Linked DNA regions of Bombyx mori. The protein of the gene in region 2 purifies or fractionates together with the protein of the main gene of each other region. This does not show direct contact. Links are inferred from orthologs where the notes say so. Each region holds a gene or a part of one and is shown on either strand. Other genes may lie near its edges.

Region 1 (11,194 bases), on a different chromosome or scaffold from region 2:
CCTACACATAGATCACAATTCCTTCCAATATTTTGTGTTAACTATGATGCCCTAACTTTAAATCCATCTATTATGTTTGATTTCGGCCTAAGTAAACAAGATCTTTCTATCAATGCCAAATTTGTTGATATTATTGACAGTGACAGCCGATGGAAAAATTGTCATTTAATTTTTAGCGATTCCTCCAAACCCGGTCCCGAGGAGTGTGTGGGGGTCGGCATTTTCCATCAACAGTTTGGCATTGTTCAGAAAATAAAATTGCCTCCAGAGACTTCAGTATTTACTGGAGAATGTTTTGGTCTTCTGAAGTCTCTGGAGTACATTTTAATGATGAAGCTTAAAAAGTCAATAATTTTAACTGACGCTAAAAGTGCCCTCCAAGCCTTGGAACGTTTTCCTTTTAACAGTAACCGAAATAATCATCCTGTGATTATTGCATGTCGTGATTTATTGTATCAATGTTGCATCAAAAATTACACAGTTTCCTTTGCTTGGATTCCGGGGCACTCGGGTATCTTTGGCAATGCCAAGGCCGATAGCCTTGCCAAAGCTGCGGTCAATGATGGAGATTTGGTTCCGTACAAAAACTTTTGTTGTGATTTAGCTCTGCTTCCTAAATTCCAGTTATTGAATTCTTGGACTCACATTTGGCGTTCTTCAAGACAGACTAAAGGTCGATATTACAGCACGATCCAAGTGGATATACCTCCTAAACCGTGGTTTTCAAATCTGACGTTTGGTAAAGCTATCACATCGACCCTTATTCGCATGAGGCTGGGCCATGCATGCATTCCCTTGCATTTGGCAAGGCTTAACCTTTTGCCTAGCGATATATGTGAGTGTGGCAATGACGTTGGGGATTTTAATCATATATTCTTTGCCTGTCCTCGAAATGACCGTTCCGCTTTTATTTCCTCACTTTTGTCCATTAAAATTCCTTTTCCTACTTCAATTTCTATCCTTTTATCTAATATCAATATTGATGTATATAGAATATTAGCTAGTTTCATTTTTCATAATAATATAAAATTGTAACCATTTATGTACTTAGTTTATATAATATATATACCTGATCCTTTTTCCAAATTCCGTTCCAAATTCAAATCCAAAAAATAAATCCATTAACACACTTCCTAACCTTTTTGCGTGGCTGACGCACAAACCGTGCAGGCCAAGAAATGGGAGAAAAAAAAAAAAAAAAAAAAAAAAAAAATCATGACAATACCTCTTTTTTTTTCGGAACGTTCACTAGTTGGTGCTTCGTAAGAAATTTTTGCCTAAGTAATTCAAAATCGACAAACATAAAATAAGAATGAAATAATTAATTTAGAATTAAGTGTAGTCGTACCTTCATTAGAGCAAACCGTTGATCGTCATCAATTCCTACGACCGCGTTCGACATAGGAGCCATATTCACTAACTGTTTATTTTTATTTTGTGATGTTTCCAATTAACATAACACGCGCAACGTGCGTTTGCCGCGAGCTCAGCCGCCGTTGTATATTTGTGTTTAGTGCTAATCTGTGGCTGTCAATTACGCGCAACTTGTAGAACCCTTGTACACTCGTACAGCAAGTCGTAGATAATACACTGCGGCAGGCAAGTGTCGTACTGGCAAGTAAGTGGGTGGCAATTGATCGAATGGTAGCGTACTTGTTTAATAATTATATTATATAGAGTTATGCATAGTTATGATTATATTTTGTAATGGCGACCCACACGAAATATGTATGTAAAGTATGTATCAATATAAAGTTAGGTATACAGTATAGTATACTGTATCTCGCTATGAACGAACATGAACTCTACGTTTTATATAAAGCGTAGTTGAATTTTATAAAAATAACCGAGCAACCGCTAGTCGCACGACTAAGTATTAATTAAAATGCATATTACCTACATAATAGAAGTCAACACTGGGAGATATCTTCACTCTCAGCTGTGCCCTAAATCGTGTGTGAAGGGAACGAATGAAGGAATTAATTTATTACCATAATTTATAGACAGAAATGAGCATGTAGTTAATTAAATTAATAAATAAGTAACTTACTGTACTTATCATCTACCCTTTTACATGTTCAATTAAATGTAATTTAAGGGCTCCTTTTTGAAATTTAACAATACAACTCTTAAAGTGTATTTTATATATATCGTGATTGTTGTCTTTATACACATTTTCCCCTCATATTGGGTCTATCAAGCTCTGGTGAAGTGTATATCTAAAATACCATAAGTGTATATGTTAGGGAGCGACTTGCATTTACATCAATCTGATAAGCTTTATCCACAGGTTAGGTAGAATCTGGCGCCAAGTTCCGTTCAAAAATCCCGTTGTAAACGGAGCGCCAGACTACCGACTGTGTTTACTGTAAGCAGAACGGTTTTTTGAGGTTGCGAAATTTTATTTAATCAAATAATTACATACTTTACGCTTTAAGCTTATATCGGATTCAGAGTAATGAATTGTAAGGGATAATAATGAAGTATACATAAATAGACAGAAATTTATTATTATTGTTATTATTATACATTAAATCAGTAAGTACACAGTTAAATTACAATCCAGTCGTTTTCCTGCTATTTTGATCCCTTAAAAATGAGGACTGGCATGAGCCATGAAAGTCGTAAGTCTAACTAAGCTCTCATGAGAGAACTTGGTTCTAGAACTTAGTATGTATATTATTTCATTATGGTAAATATGACACCTCCTTTCTCAGGCTCCTCATCATGAACTTCTTTGTCACTGCCCTCACCATCAGACTCATAATCATCACTATTGGTGTCTCGGTATGAACCAAACCTTGATAAATCCAATGGCAACTGACTCATTTTGACTCCAGCCATTGAAGCCAGCCTCTCAGCTGCATGTAATGCATTCACCTCTTTAAGACGTAAGTTATGTTCTTGCTGGAGTTTTAATGAGTCTTCTATGGATAATATTTTTGCTGGCCCATGTATTGTAGGAGGAGGTGTGGCAGCAGTCACCTCCCATTTTTTACATTTGTTCTTTCCTCTTTGTATTTCCTTTTCTGGGTTGTGGACATCTGTGTTTGTGGTCTTATGTGGCTTAAACTGTCTCGTTACTTTGGCTTTGGTGTTGTGTTCCGTTTTGTTAACTATATATCTTACGTGGGGGATCTCATCTATCTTGATTAGATCTTCAGGGGTTATCGAAAGTTTTTCAGGTTCTAAAATCTTAATTTTTTTCTCATGGAATGAGTTCTGAGTCAAGATTTTTAGGACATCTTCAGGGTCACTGTCGTCATCTGAATCTAAATCTGTGGATTGTTTAATTGTACCTGTCCATTCTAATTCTTGTACGGATTGTTTGTCAATTCCATTCAGTTTCATATTTTCGAACATCCGACACGCATCTTCTTCCTCTTGCTTCGCTTTTAATTCGGATAAGATTTTATCGTACAAAATCTGTATTTTAGCACCTTTGTCACTTAGTTTAGATATAAAACTTTTATTGTTTAATAACTTAATTTGTCTATCTCGTAGTTCAAGCAACTCAGGAATAGTTTTTAACGATAGATCGGTGATTTTTCCATCGATTTCTGTTTTTGGCGGCGGCGGCAAGATACCAGGTATCCTTTTATTTATCTTGTTCATTATTTATATATTTTCAATTAGTTTTAACGCATTCACATTTTTTAACGATCTTAATTCCTGTTATTACTGTAACATTGACTAATTCTTTTTTTGTACTTACATTTGCAACAACTACTACTACATTCACATGGAATCTAAAAGATTTATATAGGTAAAAATACTAAAAATACTGGATTTGGTTAACTTTTTGTGGAAATAGAAAACACTAGCTGTTTGTTTGTCACTTTTGCCCTTTTTTGTTATTTTGTCAACTAGGACAAAGGAAACATAGCCTATTCAACCTTAAATTGTGAATTCGAACTCATATTGTGATTTAAACAAGAAGTGAAGTGAAATGAAGTATAGTAGAATGCAACAAAATTAAATAGATATAACGTTGGTAAAATGGAGAGAAAGTATATTTCGTGAGATTTGTGTAAGAATTCGAAAAGCCATGAACTTAAATTAAATCCTTTTCCCCCTCATCATCATTATAGTCGGTTGCTCTTGGCAAAGCAGTCGTGGTCATGTGAAATTGTTGTTTATTAAAGCCTTGACAGATGTTTTCCATAATTTGCAAACCCCACTTAACGAGTGCGTGCGCACTCGTTAAGTGGGGTTTTAGTAAAGTCTTTCACCTGATCAGTCCAGCGCATGGAGATTTGTCCACGAGATCTCTTACCATTTACTCTACCCTGAACAACAAGTTTCTCGATAGACTCTGCGGGCCCTACCTATTCGCTATGGAGCTATTCCAATTACGCTATGGCGGGTAGGTGAGCTTACGGGTATTAAACTAAGAGAGTTTGCTATCAATGACCCTAGCAAAAACAGTGCTTCACAGAATCTACTACCGGATCTCGGGATCGCGACCCACTGATAAGATCCGGCGAGAAGCTCATTAGGTTGTGCCTTGACATCGTCCTCTATGATAATGAAAGGAAATAGAGCTTATACACGGAATACTTCTTTGCTGCTTTGAAATTTGCATCTATTGAGTTTGATCTCCAAAATGACCTTCCGCATTTAAAATATCTTTACTTTAAATCAATTAAGTAAAATCAATTCTGCCAAACATTTTGTGTGAGGTTTAGGGCTGCCACATCCAAAACCTTGGGTTTCAAAGAGTGTCGCAAAAATCCAATTTCCATAATGAAAAATAAGTGAAGTGGCATAGATACTACATTTTTTTGTGTTGCCCAGCAGTTGGAGCATCAGGTAATGAATACTCCAAAGGGTCCCACAAACAAGTTCGAAAAGGAATGACGGCGAGTAGCGAAAGAGTCGCGGGCGTACACTCGTGTGTATGCTTCGGGGGGCATTTAAACGGCAGGCTTACCTTACAATAAAAAGTGAGTAGTCTGTGCCTTGCTAAGTTGTTGTTGCTTCTTATTGATGTCTTATCTATGCTTGCTATTTAAGACGTTTTACTGAGGACTTTTTGGCAGGAACGCGAGGGGTGAAGTTGTATAATTTTGTCTATTTGGTATTTCTTCACGTTTAAATGTGTAACTAGATGATGACCGAGCTTTGCTCGTTTTTTTTTTGATGACGCCATCTTGTTGTGTCTTTAAATAGTATTATTATTCGCCAATAGATGTCGGGAAAGTTGATTATTGTAAACACGAATAAAACAAAATTTTCTGAAAATAAATCGTAGCTAGATCGATTTATCGCCCCCGAAATCCCCTGTATACTAAATTTTATGAAAATCGTTGGAGCCGTTTCCGAGTTTCAGATTATACATATATATATATATATATACAAGAATTGCTCGTTTGAAGGTATAAGATAACGGTGATTTATTAACTGTTTAATATCTGTGAAAGTGCACAGATGTGGGAAAATGAAACAAAGCCGCTGGACGTAACTTCTCGGGATCCTCCAAAAAGTCCACTGAAAAAATCTCAGTAAATGAAGGTAAATGACCACCAATATTATATATCATAGATTATATCTCATCTCATATCATCTCATTTAATTTTATCCCAGTTGATTAATGTCTCAAATTAATCATCTTCATTTCATTTCATTTCACTCCATAATACCATTTTTCATAAAAATATGAATATAAATTAAAATAAGATATGATCTAAAGGTCTTAGTTACCAGGTCATAAAATCCCTTTAATAAAAAAACGTTTTACTGATCTGTGGTTAAATATGTCATAGAATTTAGATCATAGAGTAAACACATATTTTAGATCATAATTATCTAGAAAAATATTATGTACACGAGTGAAATTATACAAATTATAAACAATGCGCAAGTCCAATGCTTAGTTAAAATATTATGTAGGAATAATTAGTGTATAAGTTATGTGATCCAAGAATTCTAGAACACCAAGAGATCTAAGAGTAAAGTAATTTAAAGGAACAGATTCAACACTCAAGAGACATGGAAGGAACGGTATTCTAAATAAATAATCATACTTTGCATAAATTTTCATTTATCACCTGATTTTCATCTAACAAGTACCCAAGTATTACAAACTAAAAGTATCATAAAGATCATTTAAATGATAATAATTTGACTCAAATTAATTGTACCACAAACTATATAGATGATTTTATCATTGAAATGAAAACAATGACCAAATGAACATAAATAGCACACGTTTTCTTACTTTATCCTTTTTTGAGGTACAGGATGCTGGGAGCATACACTGGTTGGTTGTACTATGGTGACTCTTTCAATTTAGTCGGGAAATCCAGTTTGATGGGTAGAATGTCTAACATTTTCATGTTTCGCATTTTGAAAGGGACAGTCGAATCCATAAGCTGTATCTGGTTAAATACTGAATGTTTCACTTTGACAACAAAGAATCATAGCAGACAATTTTTTCAATGGCCAATATGTGAAATTGGCTATATATTTAAAAAATATACTTGAATTAGTAGTGTAGCAGTTTAAAGATTTTTTTTGTCAAGAAGTAATGCTTTTCAGTTTGAAGGGTGTCATGTTGTATCTATGAGCTCTGGTCACCACTTAATACCAGGTTGGCTGTGAGCTCATTTATCTCTTTACTTATGAGCTATCAGTTCAGTATCAGAAAACTTGTTAATCATTCATTGTGGAAATCATTCTTGAACATTTATGAACTGAGAAAAAATTGTATTAAAATCCTTTATAGTCATTTCATTGAATACATGGTCACTAGCTGCTTTGCCAACTTTGTTGTTTTATCTGTAAACATACTGGAGACCTGATGTTGAATGGTCAAAGTTACTCATAGATGTCAGCAAAGCCAGCTAAACCACTGTCTTGCTAAATAAGGCACAGAGACCTGAATGAGAATGAATGTCTCAGAAGGCAATGTTAATGCTCCCAACACAGTAGCAGAGACAAAGTGTGAAGTGAGTGTGTTTACCCATTAAAATAAAATAAAAAGTAAATACAACTCTGATGCTACTGTATTAACGAATTCATAAAAAAAGATTATTTATCATGGTGACTTAAAACCCTCTTTAAAACATTACAATAATGTTTAACCAAATTTAAATATGCTGTACAATACCCTATGTATTTTATTTTCAGGTTCCATTACATTTGGACCCAGTCCACCAGAATGAAGTCTGTGACAGAAGATTATGGATCGGGAATCTAGACCTGAGAGTCAATGAGTATGTTTAAAATATTAAAGTAATTTTCAAAGATAGCTATAAAAAAGAGAATAAATGTCTCTATATAATTTCATAACATAAAATTATAAAAGAGTTACATTGTTTTATCTTCTCATTTTCCTCCACCTTATCCCACTAGGTGAGGACGGCACAGCTAATTTTTCTCTTCCATTCTCTTCTATCAGCCGTCATCTCAACACTCACTCCTCTCTCTTTCATATCGTCAATCACACATATCCATGTCTTCTTCGGTCGACATCTTCTCCCTCCCTCTACCTTGCACTACCATTTCCATACATCTTCTAGTCACATGCATCTTCACTTTTTTTTTTTTTATTGCTTATATGGGTGGATGAGCTCACAGCCCACCTGGTGTTAAGTGGTTACTGGAGCCCATAGACATCCACAACGTAAATGCGCCACCCACCTTGAGATACAAGTTCTAAGGTCTCAAGTATAGTTACAACGGCTGTCCCACCCTTCAAACCGAAACGCATTACTGCTTCACGGCAGAAATAGGCAGGGTGGTGGTACCCACCCGCGCGGACTCAGAAGAGGTCCTACCACCAGTAATTACGCAAATGATAATTTTGCGGGTTTCATTTTTATTACACGATGTTATTCCTTCACCGTGGAAGTCAATCGTGAACATTTTGTTGAGTACGTATTTCATTAGAAAAATTGGTACCCGCCTGCGGGATTCGAACACCGGTGCAACGTTTCAACACGAATGCACCGGACGTTTTATCCTTTAGGCCACGACGACTACATCGTTCTCTCTACGCATCACATATCCATACCACGCTAACCGTCCGCTCCTTAACTTCTTGCTTACCGGGGCTACTTTCACACTTCCTCTGATATACTCATTCTTTTCCATTTCTTTATCGTACCAATAAAAGGCAATATAATAAAACATCAATTTTTGTTCATTACCGGTATCAATTACTGAAACTGGTCCGCGTCTATGGGAATATTGAGAAGTTCGACATGCTGTTCCATCGTAGCGGACCTGCAGCCGGACAGCCGAGAGGGTTTGCGTTTGTTACATACAAATTGAAACAAGATGCTGTTAAGGCAATGAACTCATTGAATGGACAGTTACTAGGCTGCAAAAGGATATGTGTCAAATTTGCTAAACACACTGCTGTAAGTATCAATTAACTGTAACAATTTTACATATTATATTAATGCTGTAAAGTTGTTTAAGTTCTATGTGTAGTGCATATACTTTGTAGTTATTTTATGACCTAACCTTGTTGGTGAACTACTCGATTCAATCATGAAAAATTGCAGATAGCAAATTTTGTATTTGCAACCATGATATACTGGGTGGTTTTATAAATGAATTTGCAATGTGCCAGAGGCGAAATTTAACATACTTAGAAACGGGTATTTAAAAATACTACCTAGTCAAAATTTCATAAATTTGATTTTCAAATCTCTCAATATTTAGATTATTTTGATGACTCTTTTAATGAGATGAAAGATGAAATCAATAGTTACTTTACAAAAATTGATTGGTTTTCGTTATCATGCTGTCTTGTCCTATAGTTTGTAATGAACATTGTTTACTTAGCACATTTGTCCTGATTAGTTGTGCGCGCATGCCTTTTGTTACAATTTTTATTTTTTTATTGCTTAGATGGGTGGACGCGCTCACAGCCCACCTGGTGTTAAGTGGTTACTGGAGCCCATAGACATCTACAACGTAAAATGCGCCACCCACCTTGAGATATAAGTTCTAAGGTCTCAAGTATAGTTAGAACGGCTGCCCCAACCTTCAAACCGAAACGCATTACTGCTTCACGGCAGAAACAAGCAGGGCGGTGGTCCTACCCGCGCGGACTCACAAGAGGTCCTACCACCAGGGGAAAACCAACAAGCCCTTTTCTTTACTTGTTATTTATTGTGTATATTTTCTTTTTAGCTTGTAATGTGTATCGTGTGCCTAATAAATAAATAAACTAATAACAAAGTAATAAAATGGTTGGCAAACAAGTATGATAAATGGTTCAAGACAAAATCTTAAATAAATTATAAAAAATCTGTTAAACTAGTAGTCAAATCCGAATTCTGAACTACTTTGCTGAAAAAATGGGTAGGATGGTGTTGCTACTAATAGACTGCAGACACAGTGTGATACAAATTAGCAACAAATTGCCGTTTTCGCTTTAATAATGGTTCCTTTAAACCTGTATCTCGCCCTCAAAGAATAAACATTCACACAATTTACTATCAGCACTTACAGCTTCTGACATGAGGATTTAGAAAATAATTAACTTAAAAAAATATTCACAGGATGATCAAGATAAACCAAAACCAGAGCTAGGTATACCGGCGTTGGCTGGTGCAAAACCAGAGTTTAAACTCAGCAAAAAGACAGCCATCCAATCCATAGAGGCTAAACTCAAGATGATGGAGAATATGAACCCCGGTGATGACTTTGTGATCAATAAATTAGCCGCTAATGAGACTCCAATAATAACACAATACCAGAATAAAGCCCTGCAACCTCCAAATAAAACGGTCAGCTCGTTTCGAAGACGACACCCATATCATAAGAAGAGATAATCCATTAGGAATAGTAATAAAACTACTTGTTTAATTTTAGTTTATCAGTATTTCATATTTTAAGGGTTTCATTATAAGATATTTGTAAAAGTAACACATTTTCAGGTTAAAAACTGTTATTTTTAATAATTCTCTTATTATTATTGGCTTGATTTGTAACTATGTAATTCTAATCTTGAAAATCTGCTTTAAACTACCCTGATCTGATCATTCTAGTATCTATCTGAAACCTTTCCGTTAGTACCAGTCTAATGACAAGGGCGGTGGGTGATATTTACGTTGTGATGTTTGAGATTGAGTACATCTTGCAAATTTAATAGAAAAAAAATATGTTGAAAATTCTTACGAATACTTATGACAGTTTTTACATAATGATATCTAAAAATAATGGTTCACAAAATTTCAGTCAGTTAAGGAATTGTTTTTTTTTTCATGTAAATTAAATGTAGTAATCATTACTGTAGCTGGTTATGGTCTGAATATTTAGTAAGTTATTCTGTTTGGTTGTAAGCTAACTTAATTTCGGTTTAGAATTTTTGATATATGCATTTTTTTTTTTTTTGTATAGATACAAATTTTTTTCCGTGCATGATGTGTTTTCATTCAAGGCAGATACTACGTTAAAACAGCCACTTCATTTTCTAACCCCTAAAATTATAATATCAAAAAATACCATATTATTTATTAGTCAGCAGTTGTAATCCTTTACAAACTAACGATTTTAATTTTCTTATTATATATTTCTCAAAAAACATAAGACTCAACTGTAATCTTTTTTGTCATAATTTATAGGAATTAAGTTAAATTCAGTATATTATTTCACAAACAATGAACCTGCAGCTTATGTGATGTGAATGTAGTGTGATCTCAATAAAATTACATTGATGAACAAGTGTTGTTTCAAAATGAAAATCCTTATTCCATAAATATACTTTATTATATTTTTTACAGTCAATACGCAATTAAATAGAATAAAAAGGCAGAGTAATCAACGAATGTAAAGTATGTACATTGACTAATAACATGTTTTAAGCATAAATAGATGCAGGATAGCAGCATCTAAAACTTCACAATAAGTTATACAAAGTAAATTAGACAGTTTCATTTATTTCTAAAGTTTTATAGAGTACATTTTTACTTTTCTCCTTAAAAATAAATAAATAAATTTTAGTATGGTATGCTTTCACTTGTTCTAAATCCAGGTAATACTCCATTGGACAGTGAGCTTGCTAGTTTAGAACATGGACTAACAGACATTAAAAAGTCGTCATCGTCTGCCTCCATTTTCTTTTTCATGTTTGAGTATTGAGTTTCGTCATCGCCTTCTTTTAACCAGTCTTTGTAATCGATGCACAGCGGCCATATTATTTTACCGCTTCTGAAACATTCAAAGAATTGATTTC
Region 2 (11,194 bases):
TGATCACCGTTAAGTGGGCCCCTCTTACTAGATATCTTTATTTTTATCGATTAATTCATTTTAATTCATTTTGATCAATTATCGTTTGTTCGATGACTATTGGTGATTGTTCGATCATAAAAATAATTAAATTCCCAATTATTAATTATTTTATATTAATGTAATACCGAAATACTTCACGAGATGGCGTTACAAAAAATCCCTTCCCAAAACTATAAAACCGTTGTGATTGTCTACTGAATAAATAATATTTATTCGTATAATAAATAGTATAATAAATAATATTTATTCGTAGGTGATTGTTTAAGATGTTATGAATATTTCAGTTTTGATTTCATCAAAATAACTTGAACTTTACTACTGAATTCCGAAAAAAATTCTAATTAAGGCTGAGTTAAGTTCAGCTTTTTATTTAAGCCTCTTACTGTAGTTTTTAAATTACATTTATGCGGATTGACGTTTCAAAGCTTTCAGATTTCAATTTTAAAATCTGAAATAATTAAGAACAGCGTCATCCACCGTTCACATTTGAAACAGAATTTAATTCGGTTTAAATTTGTAAAAGTTGATGTTGATTATTATTACACTAATTAATTGAGCGTTTCATTAGCTTTTAAGCTGAGTGACTATTTATAATATATTTTTATTCTATTGTCTATTTTTGTTAAGTAATAAATGAGCAAAAAATAATACTTAACAAAAAGATATGAAATCCGAAAAAAAACAGTTTCACTGTAAAAAATTGCGCCAAGTCCACGTTTATAAAACTCATCTCAATAACATTTGCACTTTACAAAAAAAATAAGACTTCAATAACTTTCATTCTCTACAAAAAGATGTGAAATACAAAAAATACCAAGAAACCATCATAATGTTGAAAAAAAAAAAATTAAAAAAAAAAATTATCGTACTTGGCGCACGTCATTGAGTACCCCAAATTTTCAGGATAAATGAACATCCTTTCAATGTTTAGAAATTTGTAAGTCGGTCAACCTATGAAATGCATAAATGTAATGAATTATTATTTCATAATAAGTTTTACAGAAGCTAGGTAAAATCGACATCTCATACGTATGTTATTCGAATTTTTTTAATTTCCCGCTCATCATTTATGATTTGAACTAAACACCCTCTTATGTTCGCTTATACAAACTACTTACGAGTCGATACGTATGCATACGTTGGCTTCAAAAAATTTGAAAAATTCTCAAAAATGTTTTTCAATGGGTAGAAAAGAATAATAAAGTTTCAGCTGAATGAATCTAAAGGGGTCGAACGCAAAAGTGGTCGATTTGGCATATAGCCCATATACATATTTGTAATTATTAATACGAGTATTGTATGCGGGAAGTTCAATATGAATTTAGTGATATTCAAATTATATGCATTTCGAACATCTCCTAAAGGATATATGTACAAAAACCGACAATCGGCAGAATCTAACGAGAAGCTTGTTGTTCAAGGTAAGGTCGTCGATAAAATACCTCGTGGACGAAGCTCCATATGCTGGACTGATCAAGTGATAATCCTTACTAAAGCCTCACTTAACAAGTGCTTTTTTTTTCCTATCTAAGCTGATAGTCTTGAGAGACCACTTCAGCGTAACTTTAACAAGTAGGTGAGCTCACGGGGCTCAAACCGGTGTGATGCTAACACAAACCCTAGCAAGATCTACCACCGAATCTAGTTATTACCGAATTTGAAACGCTGAGAAGACTGAGAAGATCCGGCGAGAAACTAACTCAACGGGTTATTTTTTTTATTGCTTAGTTGGATGGACGATCTCTCACAGCCTACCTGGTGTTAAGTGGTTACTGGAGCTCATTGACATATATAACGTAAGAGCGCCACCCTCCTTGAGATATAAGTTCTAAGGTCTCAAGTATAGTTACAACGGCTGCCCCACCCTTCAAGCCGAAACGCATTACTGCTTCACGGCAGAAATAGGCAGGTTTTTAAGTCGTTTTCGTTGCAAACTCGCACTAAGCACACAGGACGGCGGTATCTATCCGTGCGAGCTCACAGAGCCCTCCACCGTTAGTAATTACGTAAATTATATTTTTTGCGAATTTCGTTTAAGTAACACGATATTCCTTCATAATCAAAGTCATTCGTGAGCATGTTCTAAGTAAACCTGGTGGTAGGACCTCTTGTGAGTCCGCGCGGGTGGGTACCACCACCCTGCCTATTTCTGCCGTGAAGCAGTAATGCGTTTCGGTTTGAAGGGTGGGGCAGCCGTTGTAACTATACTTGAGACCTTAGAACTTGTATCTCAAGGTGGGTGGCGCATTTACGTTGTGGATGTCTATGGGCTCCAGTAACCACTTAACACCAGGTGGGCTGTGAGCTCGTCCACCCATCTAAGCAATAAAAAAAAAAAAAAAAAAAATACAGGTTCGACCTATACGTCCAAAAAAAAATTTAGGTCTCTCGTGTCGTGGGGTATCCGAATCACCCCCATGTATGTTCCGCGATTTTTGATAGTTTTCGAGTTATGATATATGTTACCTTTATGCGGGATTTACATTACGAAATTAGTTTCATGCATGTTGAGCTCAGTTTCACGAAAGTAGTTTCGATATATGCGAAAGTAATTTCGTCAAAAAATTAGTGTCGCGAAATCCACAGTATCGCAGTAACCATGGCGCCAACAGCATCAAAGCTATATTCTGTGCTATATGCTATATTCAATGTAGCTAAAGAAATGCTTATATACCTATAAACTTAAAAAAAGACTATCAAGAAAAAAAGTTATTAGATTCGAGGATGATCAACAAGAAGGCATTCAGGTGCAATGAAGTTAGTCTCTGAATTAGCAGATGAAGATCCTGAGAGCTATAAAAACTATTATCGAATGAGTGAATATAATTTTGCTTTTTTACTGTAGGTGTTTCGGGTCCCAGAGACACCCTTGTCGCTGATATTCTATCGCTGATATTTTTATCTGTACTCCATCGTTGGTTTGCCATTTTCAACGCTTGAAGCGCGTCCGAACTAACAATACACACGTCCGCACAGCGCAGGCCCTTTCGCGACATTAGTTTCACGTCGCGTCTACACTATTAGTTGCATGATTTCACCAAAAAATCGCGTAGGGCACGAAACTAATTTCCATGCATGAAATTAATGCATGCATTACGAAAGTATTAAATTACACGTGAAACTGTTGGTAAAACTAATGTCACGAAATTAATTTCACGCCACTAATTTCGTAATGTAAATCGCCTTTATGATTTTTTACCTTTATTTTTATGATTTAGTACCAGCGGCTAGCTCCGGCCGCTAGCTCCGGCCGCTAGCTCCGGCCGCTAGCTCCGGCCGCTAGCTCCGGCCGCTAGCTCCGGCCGCTAGCTCCGGCCGCTAGCTCCGGCCGCTAGCTCCGGCCGCTAGCTCCAGCCGCTTGCACCAGCCACTTGCCCCAACCGCTAGCACCAGCCGCTAGCTCCAGCAACTAGCACCAGCCGCTAGCTCCAGCAACAAGCCCCAGCCGTTAGCGCCAGCATTTAGTACCAGCCGCTTGCACCAGCCGCTTGCGCCAGCCGCTAGCTCCAGCCGCTATCACATGTTGCTAGCACCAGCCACTTGCACCAGCCGCTAGCACCAGCAGCCATTACTGCTTCACGGCAGGGTAGCCAAAAAGTCCGACAGACACTTTGTGTCTGAGCGGGAACGCGAGGAGTGAAGTTGTGTATTTTATGATTGCCCTGTTTCCGGATTCTCTTTCTTTGATTAAATCGCTTTGAAGCTCCCTGCGTTTTTTTAGTATATCTTGGGGGAAATCTTCTTTTATGTAAACCGGTGATGATATCAGTTTTTTCTTATTTTTAAGTAATTTTATTTTTAACCCCATAGTGCTCAATGTTACTACAATGGGTCTCGTGTTTTCCCCTCTTTTTCCAACTCGCCTTACAAATTCAACACTGTTTTCATTGCATTCAATGCTTAAATATTTGTTTATAATTTCTAGCACAATTTGCAACAGATCCTGATATGACCTTTCACCTTCTTCGACTCCGAAAAAGAGCAGATTTCTCTTTCTCTTCAATCTCTCCATGTTATCTGTTTTTTCTGCCGAATTAGAATTAATTGTTGTTCAAGTAACTCGGTCTTTAATTCAAGACTGTGAAATTTTTCATTCATATTATTTATAATGGTATTTTTTATTTCCTCCTTCATATCTAACATATCCGCTTTTTGTTGTTTCATCTCTTCTTGCATGCTTCTTAATATATTTTTAATTTCTTCCATTACTTTTATACCTCAAAGTACTACTAATACAATCTTGTGGATAGTATTGGAACTACGTTGCTTATAGCAGATGTTATCTCCAGTTTATCGAGTTTTATCTTGAGAGTTCAGCTACTCACGCTAGGTGGCGCTAACGTTTTTGTACGAGGTGATTTGTGTGACGATGCGAATAATATTTATTTTAGGTTAAATGCAAAAAATAAATTAAATAGAATCCTTGTGTTCACTATTTAACAATTTAACGATTTTAATGATTATTTATGTCCCCTTCACTGCACTTAACGAGTTTTAGATCATTTACACTTAGAGTAATGGATATAAATGTCAGTTGCGCGTTCCTTGATATTTTTATAGATTTTGTATTGTTTACGCACTCTTTCAATAAGAAAACATTTGTTCCTGTGGTTCTTAGTATTGTTCCTTTATTTATCACTACTTTATCACACTTTAACCACTACTACTATTTATTACTTAGTTAAAAAGCAGACGTTGAAGTGAACGGTGGCACAGTCCGCGAACTACCCTCCAGTCGTTCATAATAAAATTTAAACAATAACATTTAGTACGCATCGTTTCTTCGTTTACTGCGCATCTCTCGTAATCGTGTTACTTTCGTACTACTAGTGGCTGGTGCAAGCGGCTGGTGCAAGCGGCTGGAGCTAGCGGCTGGTGCAAGCGGCTGGTGCAAGCGGCTGGTGCAAGCGGCTGGTGCAAGCGGCTGGTGCAAGCGGCTGGTGCAGGCGGCTGGAGCTAGCCGCTGGTACTAAATCATAAAAATAAAGGTAAAAAATCATAAAGGCGAATTTACATTACGAAATTAGTGGCATGAAATTAAATTGGCATTTGATAAATGAGAGTGAGAGCAACATGTTACATAATTACTATTGTAATAAACCAAATGTACTCGTTTAAACATCACTTACTTTTAACTTCCACAGGTATATGCCACACATGCGGGGCTGGTGTAACTGGTGCTGGGCAAGCTTGTCAAGCTATGGGCAATCTGTACCACACTAATCTTGGGACTATCCCATCTACAAACAGATTACTTTAAAATTAAAGACTAAAAACAACGACATTTAGGTTTTTATTGTTTATGTACGGACTGGACAATATTTAATTTTACTTAATGTTTTGTGTCGAAGACCTGAAACCGAAGACTTGAGATGATAGGAGAGGTGGAACCCGTAAAATTGTAGTTTGCGTAGTGGCGGATAAGATTTGTTGCGGTAAGAAGTTTGCATGGTGGTAAAATGTCTTGTGAGTCTGCACAGGTAGCCGGAGGTGAGACTTCCGCGGTCGCGGCCCACCCAGTCCGCGAGAACCGGGCAGATCGCCTCGACGGTACGGAGGCCGGCCGACGGGTCCGCCAAACGACGAGACCACGCCTCCAGCACGGACTGCCGAGATTGGAGCCCCCGCGCTCCGGCTGCACTTGCGCTAGGGCGCGCCGCCTCGTAGGAGACTGTGAGGTATCCTCGAATAACTCTGACTGCGATCGCGCGCTGCCGGCGTCGCAGCGCGGCGACGTTCTCGTGGGTACGGACGTGGCACTAGACGGGTGCTCTATGGAGTGCCATCGACCGCACGGGTACCATCACCCTGCCTATTTCTGCCGTGAAGCAGTGGTGTATTTCGGTTTGAAGGGTGGGGCAGCGGTTGTAACTATACTGAGACCTTAGAACTTCTATCTCAAGGTGTGTGGTGCGTTTGCGCTGTGGATGTCTAAGGGTTCCAGTAGCCACTTAACACAAGGTGGGCTGTGAGCTCGTCCACACATTAAATCGAAGAGCGTAATCAAACGAAATTAGATACGAAGTTTAAAAGGCCGTTTAAAGTAGTTGAAGTATTGGATGGTGACCGTTACACATTGAAAGCTTTAAATTCAAAACTTACTTACAAATACCCACATGATAGGCTAAGAAAATTGCCAGCATGACACATACCAGTCGAAGTTGATGTAAATGATGATGATGAAGAGCAAGCTTAAATTGTGGTGAAAACTCGAGTAAGGAGTTTCTTGGTATTTTTTTGTATTTCACATCTTTTTGTAGAGAATGAAAGTTATTGAAGTCTTATTTTTTTTGTAAAGTGCAAATGTTATTGAGATGAGTTTTATAAACGTGGACTTGGCGCAATTTTTTACAGTGAAACTGTTTTTGTTCGGATTTCATATCTTTTAGTTAAGTATTATTTTTTGCTCATTTATTACTTAACAAAAATAGACAATAGAATAAAAATATATTACTAGTATATAGTCACTCAGCTTAAAAGCTAATGAAACGCTCAATTAATTAGTGTAATAATAATCAACATCAACTTTTACAAATTTAAACCGAATTAAATTCTGTTTCAAATGTGAACGGTGGATGACGCTGTTCTTAATTATTTCAGATTTTAAAATTGAAATCTGAAAGCTTTGAAACGTCAATCTGCATAAATGTAATTCAAAAACTACAGTAAGAGGCTTAAATAAAAAGCTAAATTTAACTCAGCCTTAATTAAAATTTTTTTCGGAATTTAGTAGTAAAGTTCAAGTTATTTTGATGAAATCAAAACTGAAATATTCATAACATCTTAAACAATCACCTACGAATAAATATTATTTATTATATTATCTATTCAGTAGACAATCACAACGGTTTTATAGTTTTGGGAAGGGATTTTTTGTAACGCCATCTCGTGAAGTATTTCGGTATTACATTAATATAAAATAATTAATAATTGGGAATTTAATTATTTTTATGATCGAACAATCACCAATAGTCATCGAACAAACGATAATTGATCAAAATGAATTAAAATGAATTAATCGATAAAAATAAAGATATCTAGTAAGAGGGGCCCACTTAACGGTGATCATTTATTTAATTAATTATAAATAAACAAAAGACGAACAAACAATTTTTACATTCGAGCATTAACGAACAAACGACGAACAAATAATTAAAAATAAAAAAAATCCGAAAATAAAAAAAGGGGGCCAAATTTACAGAGCCATAACCTACTAACTTAAATATTAAGTGTATGATCTATACCTACGGCACACTGAATTTGGCCCCTCTTTTTTTGATTTTCAAATTTTTTTATTTTTAATTATTTGTCCGTTGTTTGTTCGTTAATGTTCATATGTAAAAAATCTTTGTTCGTCTTTTATTTATTTATAATTAATTAAACAAATGATCACATTAAGTTGGCTCCTTTTACTAGATATCTTTATTTTTATCACTCAGATTAATTAATTTTGATCAATTATCGTTTGTTTGACGACTATTGGTGATTGTTCGATCATAAAAACAATTGAATTCTCAATTATTAATTATTTTATATCTAATAAGCAAACCATCACCTCACGCCAACAAATATAAAAAAATCCAAAATAAAAAAGGGGGCTAAATTCACTGAGCCATTAAGCACATAATATTTGCATGTGTTTAATCTATGATATTTGCTACCATAGATAATAGAGCCTAGGAAAGGCGACGACGACGCATTTGCTTTAATATTTTCCAATTGAAAATACAGAAAGGCCATTAATAGCCTACAGTATATTTTTTAAATACAACACTCGCTTTAGCGAAGATGTATGATACAGAAGATGATCAATACGAAGAGGAAGATGTGGAAATAACACCTGAGCTTTGGCAAGAAGCTTGTTGGATTGTCATCAACGCTTATTTCGATGAAAAAGGTCTAGTGAGACAGCAATTAGATAGCTTCGATGAATTTATTCAAATGTCGGTACAACGTATAGTTGAAGATTCTCCACCCATAGAATTACAAGCAGAAGCACAACATTTCTCTGGTGAGATGGAAACACCACCAAAATATCGTCTTAAATTTGACCAAATTTATTTATCTAAACCTACTCATTGGGAGAAAGATGGAGCTCCATCTCCCATGATGCCCAATGAAGCACGTCTTCGTAATTTAACATATTCGGCACCTTTATATGTTGATATTACAAAAACAATAGAGAAAGAACATGAGGATCCTATTGAAACGCAACATCAGAAAACATTTATTGGCAAGATTCCTATTATGCTTAGATCTACATATTGCTTACTAAACAGTTTGACTGACCGTGACTTGTCAGAATTGAATGAATGCCCCTTAGATCCTGGTGGTTACTTCATTATTAATGGATCAGAAAAAGTACTAATTGCACAGGAAAAAATGGCTACCAATACTGTCTATGTATTCAGCATGAAGGATGGCAAATATGCTTACAAAACAGAAATAAGATCATGTCTGGAACATAGTTCTAGACCGACATCTACATTATGGGTTAATATGATGGCTCGAGGAGGACAAAATATAAAGAAATCTGCTATTGGTCAAAGAATTATGGCAATTGTCCCATATATCAAACAAGACATACCTATAATGATTGTATTCAGAGCTTTAGGTTTTGTTGCTGATAGAGATATATTGGAACACATTATATATGATTTTGATGATCCAGAAATGATGGAAATGGTTAAGCCATCTCTTGATGAGGCTTTTGTCATTCAAGAACAAAATGTAGCACTCAATTTTATTGGAAGCCGAGGAGCACGCCCAGGTGTCACCAAAGAAAGACGTATTAAATATGCTAGAGAAATCTTACAAAAGGAAATGTTGCCACATGTTGGAGTATCAGATTTTTGTGAAACAAAAAAAGCTTATTTTCTAGGCTACATGGTACACAGATTATTATTAGCTGCTTTGGGTCGAAGAGAACTGGATGATAGAGATCATTATGGCAACAAAAGATTAGATTTAGCAGGACCACTTTTGGCTTTTCTATTTAGAGGCTTATTCAAAAATTTACTAAAAGAAGTCCGAATGTATGCTCAAAAATTTATTGATAGAGGAAAAGATTTCAACTTGGAACTTGCTATCAAAACAAAAATCATCACTGATGGTCTTCGTTATTCTTTGGCAACTGGTAATTGGGGTGACCAAAAGAAAGCTCATCAGGCCCGAGCTGGAGTATCTCAAGTGTTGAACAGATTAACTTTTGCATCTACTTTATCCCATTTAAGACGTGTCAATTCTCCAATTGGACGTGATGGTAAACTTGCTAAACCACGTCAATTGCACAATACTTTATGGGGTATGATTTGTCCTGCTGAAACTCCAGAGGGAGCTGCTGTTGGCTTAGTGAAGAATTTAGCATTAATGGCTTATATCTCAGTAGGAAGTCAACCTTCACCAATTTTGGAGTTCTTGGAAGAATGGTCAATGGAAAACTTGGAAGAAATTGCACCATCAGCTATAGCTGATGCCACAAAGATATTTGTGAATGGTTGTTGGGTAGGAATACACAGGGACCCTGAACAGTTGATGGCTACACTACGTAAACTAAGACGTCATATGGACATCATTGTCTCTGAAGTCAGTATGATTAGAGATATAAGAGACAGAGAAATCAGAATCTATACAGATGCAGGTAGAATTTGTAGGCCATTACTTATTGTCAATAATGGTGTCTTATTGTTGAAAAAGAAGCACATAGATGATTTAAAAGAAAAGGACTACAATAACTATGGTTGGCAAAATTTGGTGGCTAGTGGAGTAGTTGAATATATTGATACTTTGGAAGAAGAAACTGTGATGATTGCCATGAGTTTAGATGACTTGAATCAAGTTAAAGAATATGCATATTGTACTACTTATACACATTGTGAGATTCATCCTGCAATGATTCTGGGTGTCTGTGCGTCTATTATTCCATTCCCAGATCATAATCAAAGTCCCAGAAATACTTATCAAAGTGCTATGGGTAAACAAGCTATGGGAGTTTATATCACAAATTTCCATGTTAGAATGGATACACTGGCTCATGTTTTGTATTATCCTCACAAACCCCTGGTTACGACAAGATCTATGGAATACTTACGATTTAGAGAATTGCCAGCAGGAATTAACTCCATTGTTGCTATTCTTTGTTATACCGGATATAACCAAGAAGATAGTGTTATTTTGAATGCATCTGCTGTAGAGAGAGGATTCTTTAGATCCGTATTTTACCGTTCATACAAAGATTCTGAATCTAAAAGAAATGGAGAACAAGAAGAACAGTTTGAAAAACCAACCAGACAGACATGTCAGGGTATGAGGAATGCTCTGTATGACAAATTAGATGATGATGGTATTATTGCTCCTGGTATTAGAGTATCAGGTGATGATGTTGTCATAGGAAAAACTATAACTTTGCCAGAAAATGATGATGAGTTGGAAGGTACAACAAAACGATTTACAAAGCGAGATGCATCCACTTTCTTACGTAATAGTGAAACTGGAATTGTTGACCAAGTAATGTTAACATTAAATAGCGAAGGTTATAAATTTTGTAAAATTCGAGTCAGATCTGTACGCATCCCGCAAATTGGAGATAAGTTTGCTTCACGACATGGTCAAAAAGGAACATGTGGAATTCAATACAGGCAAGAAGATATGCCATTTACTTGCGAAGGTATAACACCAGATATCATTATTAATCCTCACGCTATCCCTTCACGTATGACAATTGGTCACTTGATTGAGTGTATTCAAGGGAAAGTATCTTCTAATAAGGGAGAGATCGGTGATGCAACCCCATTCAATGATGCTGTAAATGTGCAAAAAATATCATCTCTGTTACAAGATTATGGTTACCATCTACGTGGTAATGAAGTCATGTACAATGGGCATACAGGCCGTAAAATTAATGCGCAAGTTTTTTTGGGACCAACTTACTACCAACGTTTAAAGCACATGGTCGATGATAAAATTCATTCTAGAGCTAGAGGTCCAGTACAAATTCTAGTGAGACAGCCTATGGAAGGTAGGGCAAGAGATGGTGGATTACGTTTTGGTGAAATGGAACGTGATTGTCAGATTGCACACGGAGCTGCCCAATTTTTACGTGAACGTTTATTTGAAGTATCAGATCCTTACCGTATACACGTGTGTAATTTCT

The links. Proteins that work in one complex are often made in the same cells at the same time.
Region 1: the proteins of DNA-directed RNA polymerase II subunit RPB2 (region 2) and uncharacterized protein LOC101743276 purify together in Homo sapiens (affinity purification with mass spectrometry; 3 studies listed by BioGRID and IntAct, counting the BioPlex papers as one, with this or other methods). This does not show direct contact. The link is inferred for Bombyx mori from reciprocal best matches to the Homo sapiens genes POLR2B and POLR2M.

What each region holds. Positions count from the first base shown.
Region 1 is NC_085116.1:3,261,880-3,273,073, forward strand, and holds uncharacterized protein LOC101743276, read right to left. Parts: upstream 4,942-11,194; 5' UTR 3,616-4,941; coding exon 2,680-3,615; 3' UTR 2,491-2,679; downstream 1-2,490. Other genes in the region: SEC14-like protein 2, read right to left, coding at 1,349-1,411; RNA polymerase I-specific transcription initiation factor RRN3, read right to left, coding at 10,959-11,169.
Region 2 is NC_085110.1:13,223,593-13,234,786, forward strand, and holds the start of DNA-directed RNA polymerase II subunit RPB2, read left to right. Parts: upstream 1-7,690; 5' UTR 7,691-7,830; coding exon 7,831-11,194. UniProt on the Homo sapiens protein: Catalytic core component of RNA polymerase II (Pol II), a DNA-dependent RNA polymerase which synthesizes mRNA precursors and many functional non-coding RNAs using the four ribonucleoside triphosphates as substrates.